Linked DNA regions of Xenopus tropicalis. The protein of the gene in region 1 binds, or shares a complex with, the protein of each later gene. Links are inferred from orthologs where the notes say so. Each region holds a gene or a part of one and is shown on either strand. Other genes may lie near its edges.

Region 1 (5,912 bases):
ATGTATTTGCTGCACTAGCTTAATTTCCTGTGAAGTATTTCATTATAGTAAGAATACTTGTGTAATATATTTTTTACCTAAAGCCATGCTATTTGCTACTTATGATGCTGTGCTCAGAGAATCACTTGAGTGTGATTTCTTAATTGTTCAACTATATATCTAATTGCCATTTTGAGTTTAAACTGTACAGCTTAGTTTAAATTAAGCCTGGCCATTATTTTTAAGAACCTGTGAGTGTATTCTATTTCTCTCCATATGGCTTAAGTCATTTAAGTTGGACTTTTTTGCTTTTATATTTTTACCTAATGCTCTACACTGGTTTCATCTATTAAATTAGAGGGGTGGTTCCCAGAATGTGAAACTGTCCCCAAAAGGGCATTCCAGTGCAGAGGAAGCCCTGCTTTTGACACATTCTTATTACTGTCTAAAATTATGGTAGGGTGACTAATTGCAGCTTGTAATATGTGTCCAAACAAATGTTGGAAAGCTAAAGGAAACCTTTAAACTAAAGGGTTTAGAAGTTAGAAAAAATTAAAACAAAACCTTTTATCTGTTAGTCAGTCTGTATATGTCCAGATTTGGTTGAGTGGTTTGGTAGATTTTGACTTGCTCCCTGTCCGGCCAAATGGTCGGGCAGTACAATCAAACCAACTATTTAGTGATCCCGATCCTTGTGATTCAAGGATTGTCAGTCCCAATGGAAAATTTGCTGAAAATGAAAGAGGAGCAGCTCAGTTCAGCCAAAAGGCCAATCAGGGCTGCATAACGTATGAGTCAGTCTTTGTATGGCTGCTACCGTATAAGCTAAAGAAGTCTCCTTGAGACATTTGGGTCCACTACTTAAAATGAAACCCTTTTTTTTTCTTTACAGCTGGAAAGAGAGATGAGGCACAAGCTGAAAACGGCTTTCAAAAATTTTATTGAAAAGGTGGAATCTTTGACAAAGGAGGACTTGGAATTTGAGGTTCCCTTTAGAGACCTGGGGTAAGCATTGGCTCTTTGTTGTACTGTTGTGAAATATTGAGATACTGAAACCAGAAATAAGTTTTTTTTTTTTTTTTTTTTTTTTTTTTTTTATCTATGATAACATTGTCTTTGCATGCTACTTATATTTTGCTTTAAAAGTATTTTCCCGAAGCTTTTACATTACATGCGTGGTCCCCATGTTCCTCTATGAGGGGGCTGCCATATTTGTGCTGCAGGAGTCCATTAGCATTAGAAACTATAACTGACAGGCTGAGAAGGGACAGTCAGGTTGGCAAAACAGGTTTATGAACTTTTTACAGAAATTACTTACAAAAGCAGCCCTATCAGCAAAAAGTGTGACTATAGGTAACTTTAATATACATTAATATTTTAAAAAGTTGGTTTTTAGTGTCTCTATCACTTTTTTTTCCCCATGAACCACTGATGTGTATCTATACTTTTTTTGATATGTGCACTTCTGTTCTGTTATCTTGGAATTAAAATGGATTTAACTAATTTACCTCAATTCATTATTTGGTAGAATCGCATTTGGCTGCAGTTATAGCTGTAGTGTGTGTGGTGTAAGTGAATCCTAGTTTTACAGATCTGGATTCTGCAATTTTTGCCATTCTTGGCAAAATATAGTTAAGCTGTTCAGGTTGGAAGGAGAACAGCAAAGTTTGAGTTTTGTCACAAATAGGTTTAAGGTCTGGATTTGACTGGAACATTCTAAGCCATTAGTCTTGTTGGTCTTAAATCACTCCAGTATAGCTTTCACTGAGTCTGGCTAAAAGGTGAAGCTCCCTCCCAGTCTCAGGTCTCATGCTGACTGAAACAGGCTTTTTCTTTAGAATTTCCTTTTATTTGACTGCGTCTATCCAGAGCCAGGTAGGGTTTGGTAGTTTACAATTTAAATTTTGGTCTTATCCGAGCAGAGAACCTTTTGCCGTGCTTGCTGGTTTTCTTGCATGCCTTTTGGCAAACTCTGAAAGGATTTTCATATGGGTCTCTAATTGATGGCTTTTTGTTTGCACAGTTTAAAGCTGGTTACCATCAGCATTTGACTAGTTACCCTTTTACCTGGTCACCAAACCTTGGAGAGAGCTTTCTCTAGGCTGACTCACAGTTGTGCTATTGATTTAGTGGTGCTCCAGGAATTTTATTTTAGACCCTGCTATTTTCCAGAATTTATTCTGGATACTGACACATGATACTCCTTGGTCTTAATGATGCTGTTTTTTCAAATATGTGTTTACACTTTTAAATGCATAGTTGGACTTGAATTAATTTTGTGATGTCTGAAGGCAGTTAGTTGCTCAAAGCTTATTTAGGGGTTTTGTAAAGGAAGTGAATTCTAATGGAGTCTTAGATGCTTCCATTTATTTTTTAATAAACTTATGTAGACTTTGTATTCCACTATGGACTGTTTTACACCCTGGATTTAATGCAACAAAACGTAGAAAATACAAAGCATTACATACTTTTCAACTTTTCATGGATTGGTATACGTACAGTGACTAGGGAAAACCATAAACCTAAGATTAAAACTTTCAGGCAGTTTTGGGCTGAGTTTTATTTTTTTCCATAATAGGTTCAATGGAGCTCCATACAGAAGCACCTGCCTCCTTCAGCCCACCAGCAGTGCACTGGTAAACACCACAGAGTGGGTAAGTTTAATCTTCTATATATACTGTAGTAAGTCATTTTGAATGTTGTAGTTTAAGAGACATTTAACAGTCGTAATAGAAAACTTTTAAAAGAAGAATACCTCCCAGTATTTAAAAAACTGAAAGGAGGACAAAACAAACTGCTGTAGCTGTAAAAGTATAGGCCGCGCCAAATAAAAACAAATAAATCCTAACCCTAACTCACATCCTTTTCTTCCGAGTGTCCTGCTCTTTTATTGTTGAATTTTCATGCCTTTTTACCAGTTATATTCAACTCCCAGCCTTTCCCCCCTCTGTGGTTTTTAACATTTTTTTTTCTTATTTTAAGTGTTTAGATTCTTGAGAACTATCCATTTTTTTTCTTCAGTTATTGCATCTCAAACATAGTTGTGGTCAATTGATCATTTTTTTTCTAGATTGTTTGATGTATGGCTTAAGTGGTATATAGATATAGCCCAAGCACTTGGATAAATAGGTTACCATTTCTAACTGCTGATTTTTCTTTTCTCTCAGCCCCCATTTGTTGTTACGCTTGATGAGGTGGAGCTTGTACACTTTGAGAGAGTGCAATTTCATCTTAAAAACTTTGACATGGTTATTGTTTACAAAGAGTACGGCAAGAAAGTCACCATGATTAATGCAATCCCTGTGGCTTCACTTGACCCCATAAAAGAATGGCTTAAGTAAGTGTTTCATGGAATATGAAAGATGTAGTGCTGCTGTTAACACATTTTTCATGTATCTGTTAATCTGATTACACATGGTCCAGTAGTGGTTTATGTTGACTGTTACGTTCACACGCTATGCTCCAACAGCAGGTCTATTGGGATGTGGACAGCAGAGACTTCTCTGTGCAAAAGGACAGATAAATAATTGGGGTGCTGCTCTTGTGTGAAAGGCTGGTGATGCAAGGCATGGAACAACTGTATATGGACTGGGGGACATTTGGGCATTTTAATTTTATTTAGAAAACACTTAAATATACAGGGACACAAGAATTTTCTATTAAAATATCCCTTTTAATGTTTATCATACTGGAATATCTTTGCAACAAGTGACTTTTGAATACATGTCATTACTAGGTGTCTCTTACAGTAGTATAAAGCAAAGCAATAATAGGATGGTCAGGCAGCAAAGAGCCTCCATGTGCTGCTCCTGTCTTGGGTTGCTGCTTGATCAACCTGGAAATCAGTTCCTGTGTTTATTAGATTGATGCAAGCACCTTCGACATCTGCTTTATAAAATGATGTGTTTAATTTTTGCAGGTATTTTGGTTGAGAAAAGGCATGGGGGAAATTATGGCTGTGTACTATAAAAGAATAGAGCAGAACATTTGCTAGCTGAGCTTTAGTGCTTGGGGGACACACTTTAGTTTTTCAACTAGCCATAATCTTTACTTGAAAGATATATTGCTGTGGTGAGCAACTTATGTCATGATATACATAGACATGGTAGTGACGTCATTTCTGGTCACACAGGCAGGAAGTAAACATAGGGAGTGCACACGTGCTAGATCTGAGGGGAGTAAGGTCTATTGAAAATGGCAAATACTCCTAGGGGCATAAGAGAAAACCAGAGTGTGTTCTTCTCGCCATCTCCAATAGGAACCAGTCTCCAACATTATATTAAAGGTAATGAAAAAAAACAATAAATGTAATGGGGCATGGGGTTTAGAAAGGTTTTACTTGACCTTTAAGATACTGTGCTTATAACAGTTGTTAGTAACTTTACTTTTTGCAGTGTTCTCATTGAAAGCTTTCTTCTACAGCTCCTGTGACATTAAATATACTGAAGGAGTACAGTCACTAAACTGGACAAAAATTATGAAGACCATTGTAGATGACCCTGAAGGTTTCTTTGAACAAGGTGGTTGGTCATTTTTAGAGCCAGAAGGAGAGGTGAGTTTGGTGGTTGCATTTGTAATTGTAATTTATATTTTTGCATATGTAAAATAGTTTTTATTTATCCCAAGCAGATCTTTATTCTGGGCATACTGTATCTGTTCATTTTGCGAATATACTTTTTTTTTTTTTTTTTTGCCTTATTGGGGACAGGAGACAGGAATAATGAATTATATTTAGCTACCTATTTGCAGAAACAGGATTTAAAACTGAAGAAGGGTTTGGCTAAATTCTACCTCGTGTTGCCAGCTTAACCTTGCTTGCTAAGGGCAGCCTCCCTCTTTTTTTTTTTTTTTTTCTTTTTTTTTTCAGTTAGCAAATATGGCACACTTTAGTTTGGCAATGGTGGTGCCCAGGTACCATTCTTTTTTGCCAGCTTAAGGATATTGGCACACTGCATATATCTGCTTCTCAGCCCTTCGTGGGGTGGGGAGAAGCCTCCTCAGCAAAGGGCCACTTCCATAAACCCCCTTCGTTAGCACCCTAGGGCCAGGTACATTATTTGTTGTAATGCATGTTTCAGTAAGTTAACCTTACTAACCGCACTAATTATATTAAGTGATCCCTCTATTTAAAACTGTGTGTGCAGAAAAGTGAGTGGATTATGTGTTTTGATATAAACAAAAATTTGTGCACTCTACAATTTGTGTGCTGGACCCAAAACTTGTGCGTGCACAACTTATTTACAATAGTGGCTACATTATTCCTTATATATTTTTGGTTATTCATGGCTTTTGTGTATTAGGCATCTATGTGTACTGTGCTAGTTTCAGTGCTATAGTACAAACCCTATTTTGGGACCATACCAGAGGAGTTTTTCAACAAGCACCAGACATGCTGGTTTTGTGTTTAATTTTTTTTTCTTTAAAATGATAACTAGAATACAAATTTTGGTCTGTGCTCTTATTGCTTGATTGCATGATTACTATTGTAAGGTGATCATGTTGTTGATGAGATAAACGTATTTCTTATTTATTTTATAGCATCAGACCATGACCAATTGTGCTTTTTTTAACTGGAAATGTTTAACACTACATTTTTAGTTTATTAGTTTTTTCATTCATAATGTGTTTGTTTATACAGGGCAGTGGTGCAGAGGAAGGCGAATCAGAGTCTGAAATGGAAGATGAGACATTTAATCCTTCTGAGGATGAGTATGAAGAAGAGGAGGAGGACAGCGATGAGGATTACTCTGATGAGACAGAGGAGTCGGGTATGAAGGGTGGAAGTTTAAAGTTAATAATGAATAAGGAAGGGAATGGATGTTGGCACTATAATATACCATTTCTTTTAACAGTTGGCAGTGAAGAATCCCTGGGCACTGATGAGGAGAGTGGAAAGGACTGGGATGAACTAGAAGAGGAAGCCAGAAAAGGTT
Region 2 (5,912 bases), on another chromosome or scaffold:
ATTACAGATGGTAAAGAGATAAAAAGCAACCCATATAACCAGGGCTGTGGAGTCGGTAGATAAATTCTCCGACTCCTCAGTTTCTGATACTTCCGACTCCAACTCCACGACTCCGACTCCTCTGTTTTTAATATAATGTATTTTATACATTCATACAGTCAATGAAAAGCATGCTTCATGGTCACAAAATTGCCTCTGACTCTGTGCAGTATCTCCAACATATCATTAGGTACCAAGATAAAACATTCCTCTGAACATTGTGATTCCCAGTGTGCAAAGGTTTAACTTAGTATATGACATTTAAATACATTAAAACCATATCTTGTGCATACTATTTATGACCTACATTTCAACTACTTCAAAAAACAAAAACATAGCATGTTTTATATGTGATAAAAGCTGCAAAAAAATTGTGCTGACACCTGAAAACCATACTTTTATGGGAAGTATACATTCTGGCGAATCCAAAATAGTTGAAAACAAGATTCGGGGAGCACTCACCGCCACAGACTCACATTCAAAGAGTCCCGTGCTATCACGTCCAGAAGACGCCCCCGATCCAGGCGTAATTCGATGCAGAGAAAAATTGTTGGTAGACGGAGCACGCCAGGACTACTTTTCAATAAAAAAATATATTCTTTATTCTGGTATCCATTAAAAACATGGTGATACACTACACCTCCAGCTTAGGAGGTGTAGTGTATCACCATGTTTTTAATGGATACCAGAATAAAGAATATATTTTTTTATTGAAAAGTAGTCCTGGCGTGCTCCGTCTACCAACAATTTTTCTCTGAATCCAAAATAGTTAAATGTTTCTCTACTCCAAACTGGCAAACTACAAAGCTTTGCTAAAGTTAGCGGTTTTAATAACATTTTAAAAATTCACATGTGAGCTTCCATTTTACAGCATGTTACCTCCTACCAAAAGAAAGATACCATTATATACCGCAATTAAACCTCCTAAAATTGAAAGCTAGGGTCTTCTAAGCAGCTTGATGCCCAGGGTGTGTTGGTTTACCTAAGGGCAATTTCACACATTTAACTTGCGCTATTTCTTCCATAAAAGGATAAAACATTCTAAACATGGACACCAGGGGGCACATTTATTAATCCACGAATCCCGAATGGGAAAAAATCGGATTGGAAACGAAAATTTAGCGATTTTTTTTTCGTGAAGGCGACAAAAAAAAAAAATCGCAAAATTACCGATCATGATGGGAAAAACGCATTCGGCCGCTTTTCGGATGTTCGTGAATTAGTAAATATACCCCCAGGAGTGTACTAAACAGCATGGGGACCCCAAATTAGACTAATGCACATGAATTTTCTTGGATGCCAATTCACCTTCTGTGAACATATCCTTCTGTTGTGTTGTAAGACCCCCTATCAGTATGAAAACCCTTGAAAACCATATATTTTTGGAAAGTACTGTCAAACTGCAAAAATATGCCAAAACATCACAAAAATCAAATACAATTAGGCAAATCAATGAAATAATGATATAACTGATCCAACAGCATGGTTAGTGGTGGTAAGAATGCCTGCTCCAGTAGTCACATTGTAAAATAAATAATTTTTAGGAGAAAACAAAAGAGAATGCTAAAATGAAGAACTAAAAAAAAAAAAGAAAAACAAAAAGGAACACCAAGAGCCCCAATAGTGTAATATATTTTTACAAGGAGTAATGATAGAGTAAACAAATTAAAACTCACAAGCCAGGGTTACCAATAGGCAACCACTGTATAAGTAGGTGGGGAGATTATCCTGACCCCACTCAGGAATAAGAAGTCACTCTCTGTAGAAGGAAGAAAAATGGGGTGGACAGAGGCTCCTGGTGTGTTTATACAAAGACACTGTTTTTTTTGCGCCTATTCTACATTGCCTGATGAAGCAGGAAATGCCTGTGAAACGCGTTGCAATATTGTTGTGAATAAACTATTACTGAAAATTACCACTTTTGTTGGTGTCTGCCTGGAGGAGGTAAGTTCACTACTACCTCCTCTGAATTACCCATTGGGTTTTTAAGTGTTTTTAGCTAATTTTATCTTTTTGGCGCCTCTGTTTTGTCTTATCATTAAAAAAAAAAAGAAGCTGTTTTTTAAGGCTCTAATAAGGATTAATTATATCTTAGTTGGGGTCAAGTACAAGGTACTGTTTTATTATTATCGAGAAAAAGGAAACCATTTTTAAAAATGTGAAATATTTGGTTATAATGGAGTCTATGGGAAATGGCCTTTCCGTAATTCGGAACGTTCTGGATAATGGGTGTCCAGATAAGGGGTCCGAAACCTGTACCTATGTTCTTGGCAGGAAAAGGTTTCAAATAGTAGGCTTCTTTGCAGATGCTAATTTGTGTGGCTGTGCAGAATACAAAAAATATAGTAAATTGTACCCCTTAAAGTTACAGAATTTATGTATTATGAGGGCCACACTTGGGATTACTATCATGCACCAATTAAGTTACCTAACACTTTTTATTTGAGGACTGCTGTTATTATGACAGCCATCAACCCTTGAAGTGTGTCCATGTCTGTAGGAGTAATAGGATACTACAGGCTCTTGCAGACTGTAATCACTGATGTCTGAAGATGGCCATAATATGTTATAGTTGCAATGCTTTTAAACGTTCAAAAATGAGCCAGTCTTAATAAGCAAAAGAAAGTTAATTCAGTGCTATGTTTTGGTATAATAACTTAATTGCAGCTCCTGAAATTGGTCCACTATTTTCAGTGGGTATCTGGATAGGATACACAGAAGGTCCCGGTGAGAGTTCCATGTTTGGCCTGGCTATATATACATCTGGTGAATAGGTTATTCAGCCAGAGTGTGATATTTAGATCACCTACACAAGTTTGCATGGAAAATATTTGAACACTCACCCTTTTAAGGGAATTAAACAATAACATTGTCTTATTTGCACTTTAGTTTCATTTATTGAATGTAATTTTTTTTAAAATTACTGTGTTTTTTTTCTTAATTTTCTAGGAGTATGACAAGCTGTTTGATTATTTCAAATCTCATTTTCGTGTGGAATTAGTAGAGAAGGATTTGTGTGTGAAAGGATGGAACTGGGGCAGTGTGAGATTTGGAGGTGAGTGTTAATTCTTGTGTCTCATTTTCATGCATGAATGAAATGCTAACCTATGATCACGCATGGAGAACTATTTTTGTTGTATTTATTTACAATTTAGGCAGGTCTTTTGACACTTAATAGGCCATTTGTAAGCTGCACTTTTTACGGCTATCAATTGTGTTTTTAATTTATGTTCCACTTGTGGTAAGGCAATGGTTAGTATAAAGATTAATTATAACATGATGCATTCTATGCCTGATACAAATACTTATATCCTTCTAGTGATCTTTTTAAAGAAGCAAAATAAAGGGTCCACGGTTGCCACACTGTTGTATGTTTATGTACAGAATTTTTGTACATTTTTTTTGTAGGGCTGTAGAATGATGGGTTTTGTGTTATATTAACCCTGTCCGCAGTACAGTGAGTGTCCGTATTGTTTTGTAGCCAATGATTGGTTAGTTGATTCTTGCTACGGGCAAGTATTTGGACTAGAAGCATTTTTCAGGGTTTTTTTCTTTACTGGGGAGGGAACGTGGGGTCTGCTTCTTCAGTAGCCACTGAAAGACTGCGTTCAGTTCTAGCAGAGGCACACACCCACTTGCCTGCAGGGAAGGGGGTGGGTTAGGATTCAGTGCGCGCCAGCTTTAAAACAAAAAATAAATAAATACATTTTATACTGAATGATAATGGATTATAACCATGACTAAAGCTAGTCCATGTAGAAATGGCCATATTTTCATTAGCTTGCATACATATAAAGTGTGACTACAATAGTTTTATGGGAATGTGCAAGTGGATGCCCTAAAGTTATTGTTTCACTACAACTTCCGGCATCACATGCCAGCTCATTTGGCATTTTTCAAATTGCTGAGCCTTTGTGCCGTTGCTCAGCAAATGTTTTTCTCATAAATAACTAAGAAATAAAGTTGATATGTAAAGTTTCGGACAATGAATGGTTGGACCACTCCTACTCCTCTCTGCTTAGAACACAATCTGCCTGTCAGAACTGAGCCAAGTTAAGCAGTTTCCCGTTCCTGATAGTTCCCCTTTGTTGTCCTATGGAGTGGTTCTGTTGCCTGCAATAGATCTTTGCTATCCCGTGCGACTAATCACTTTGAAATGCCTTTCCGTCGGCAACAGTAGGAACCACTGGTGCAGGCAACTTTGTGAAAACTTAGGAAAACAGAAGAGATACAGAAGGCTTTCCACCGGCGACATCTATTGTTGCCAATAGAAAGGCATTTCGGAGCGGTAAGTCACATGCTCTAGCAGAGATCTATCATGGCCGACTGTTAAACGCATGGGCTGAGCTTGAAATATTTTGCATTGTACCCATTTACTTTTTGCACTGCTCTTAGTAAGTAATTAGTCTCAAGGCATAGACCTCCCATTAATTTAGGTATTATACATAGAGTGTTTTGTTCGAGGAGGTTTGTTATTCCCAATTGATTTACTTATTTTAGTTTGAGTATACTAAACAGTATAAACACTGTCACTTGCAGAGTAGAGATAGTCACATCTGGCAGGTAACATTGAACACCAATGAAAAATGCGGGCACTCTATTCACACATATATATATGAATATTTAAATCTCCACTCACCGCTTCCTGAAAGCAAAGAAATTCAATCCATTCGGCACGCACTCATCAAGTCCCAGGACAGCGGGTAAAAAATTCCAAAAACCTTATTGAACAGAACCTAACGCGTTTCGTGTGTTCTCACGCGTATTCATAGGTACCTTCGGAACACCGAAATACCGCGTATATGTCGGGTGAAGACATATGGAGCTACTAGTAGCAGCTACTTGCAACTGCTACAGAAATAGACAATGCTGATCATTTGCTGTTAACTGTCTCTACATGTGTTTTACCAGAGGCATTTCTCAGTATTGTCTATGGCAGGGTATTTTATGGCATTTAGTAGCAGTGACAAATGGCTGCTACTAAGTAGCTCCATTTGTCTTCACCCTTAATCTCTCCTCGGAACATTAACCTAAAGCCAAATAAGGAGAAAAGGCACAGGTTTACTTTGCAAATAACAGAAGGAAGGTAAATGGGTAATTTCTACATTACATATACTACTGTTTATATTATTCTTAATTTTGAATTCTTCTTTTAAATAAAAACCCCCCATTTTAACATTTTTAACCCATCTAGGACAGCTGCTTTCGTTTGATATAGGAGATCAGCCAGCCTTTGAACTTCCACTTAGTAATGTTTCTCAGTGTACCACAGGGAAGAATGAGGTGACACTTGAATTTCATCAGAATGATGACTCTGAGGTCTCTCTCATGGAGATACGTTTCTATGTCCCTCCCACACAGGACGATGGAGGGGACCCTGTAGAGGTCAGTGTTAATTATTTCAGTGATCTAACATTCTTGCATGTTTTGCCATTTAATTGTGTTTGCATCTCTGTAACTGCTCTGCCGATTTACAGTTATGTGAAAAAATTAGGAGACCCTGTGAAAGCCTGTGTGATTTTGTAACATTCTTAGACATATGGATATTTAATCTCAATTTTAACAATACTGAAATGTTTAAGTAATATAACTAAACAATTAACTGAAGAAAAGACTTTTCAAAATCTTCTGTAAAATATAATTCTACAATAATGCAATTTCTGGTGAGGAATAAATCAGGACGCCCCCACATTTAGTCCCACGTAAAATGGCTCCGATCACACACAGGTGTATCACATCAGCTGCACATAATTACAACATAGTTACTTAGCATTTTTAAGGAGTTTTGCCCTATTTAAACCTCAGACTTTTCATTTGGTGTGCTCCTGACTGTTGAAGTGAGAGTGAACACCATGGTGAGATCAAAAAAGAAT

What was found. The genes of interacting proteins can lie anywhere in the genome.
Region 2: supt16h (region 1) and ssrp1 share a complex: the UniProt entries of both Homo sapiens proteins name them as parts of the FACT complex. The link is inferred for Xenopus tropicalis from reciprocal best matches to the Homo sapiens genes SUPT16H and SSRP1.

The regions. Positions count from the first base shown.
Region 1 is NC_030677.2:142,079,903-142,085,814, forward strand, and holds part of supt16h (FACT complex subunit SPT16), read left to right. Parts: intron 1-871; coding exon 872-984; intron 985-2,557; coding exon 2,558-2,633; intron 2,634-3,146; coding exon 3,147-3,316; intron 3,317-4,401; coding exon 4,402-4,531; intron 4,532-5,617; coding exon 5,618-5,747; intron 5,748-5,831; coding exon 5,832-5,909; intron 5,910-5,912. UniProt on the Homo sapiens protein: Component of the FACT complex, a general chromatin factor that acts to reorganize nucleosomes. The FACT complex is involved in multiple processes that require DNA as a template such as mRNA elongation, DNA replication and DNA repair.
Region 2 is NC_030683.2:56,093,727-56,099,638, reverse strand, and holds part of ssrp1 (FACT complex subunit SSRP1), read left to right. Parts: intron 1-2,988; coding exon 2,989-3,094; intron 3,095-5,233; coding exon 5,234-5,424; intron 5,425-5,912. UniProt on the Homo sapiens protein: Component of the FACT complex, a general chromatin factor that acts to reorganize nucleosomes. The FACT complex is involved in multiple processes that require DNA as a template such as mRNA elongation, DNA replication and DNA repair.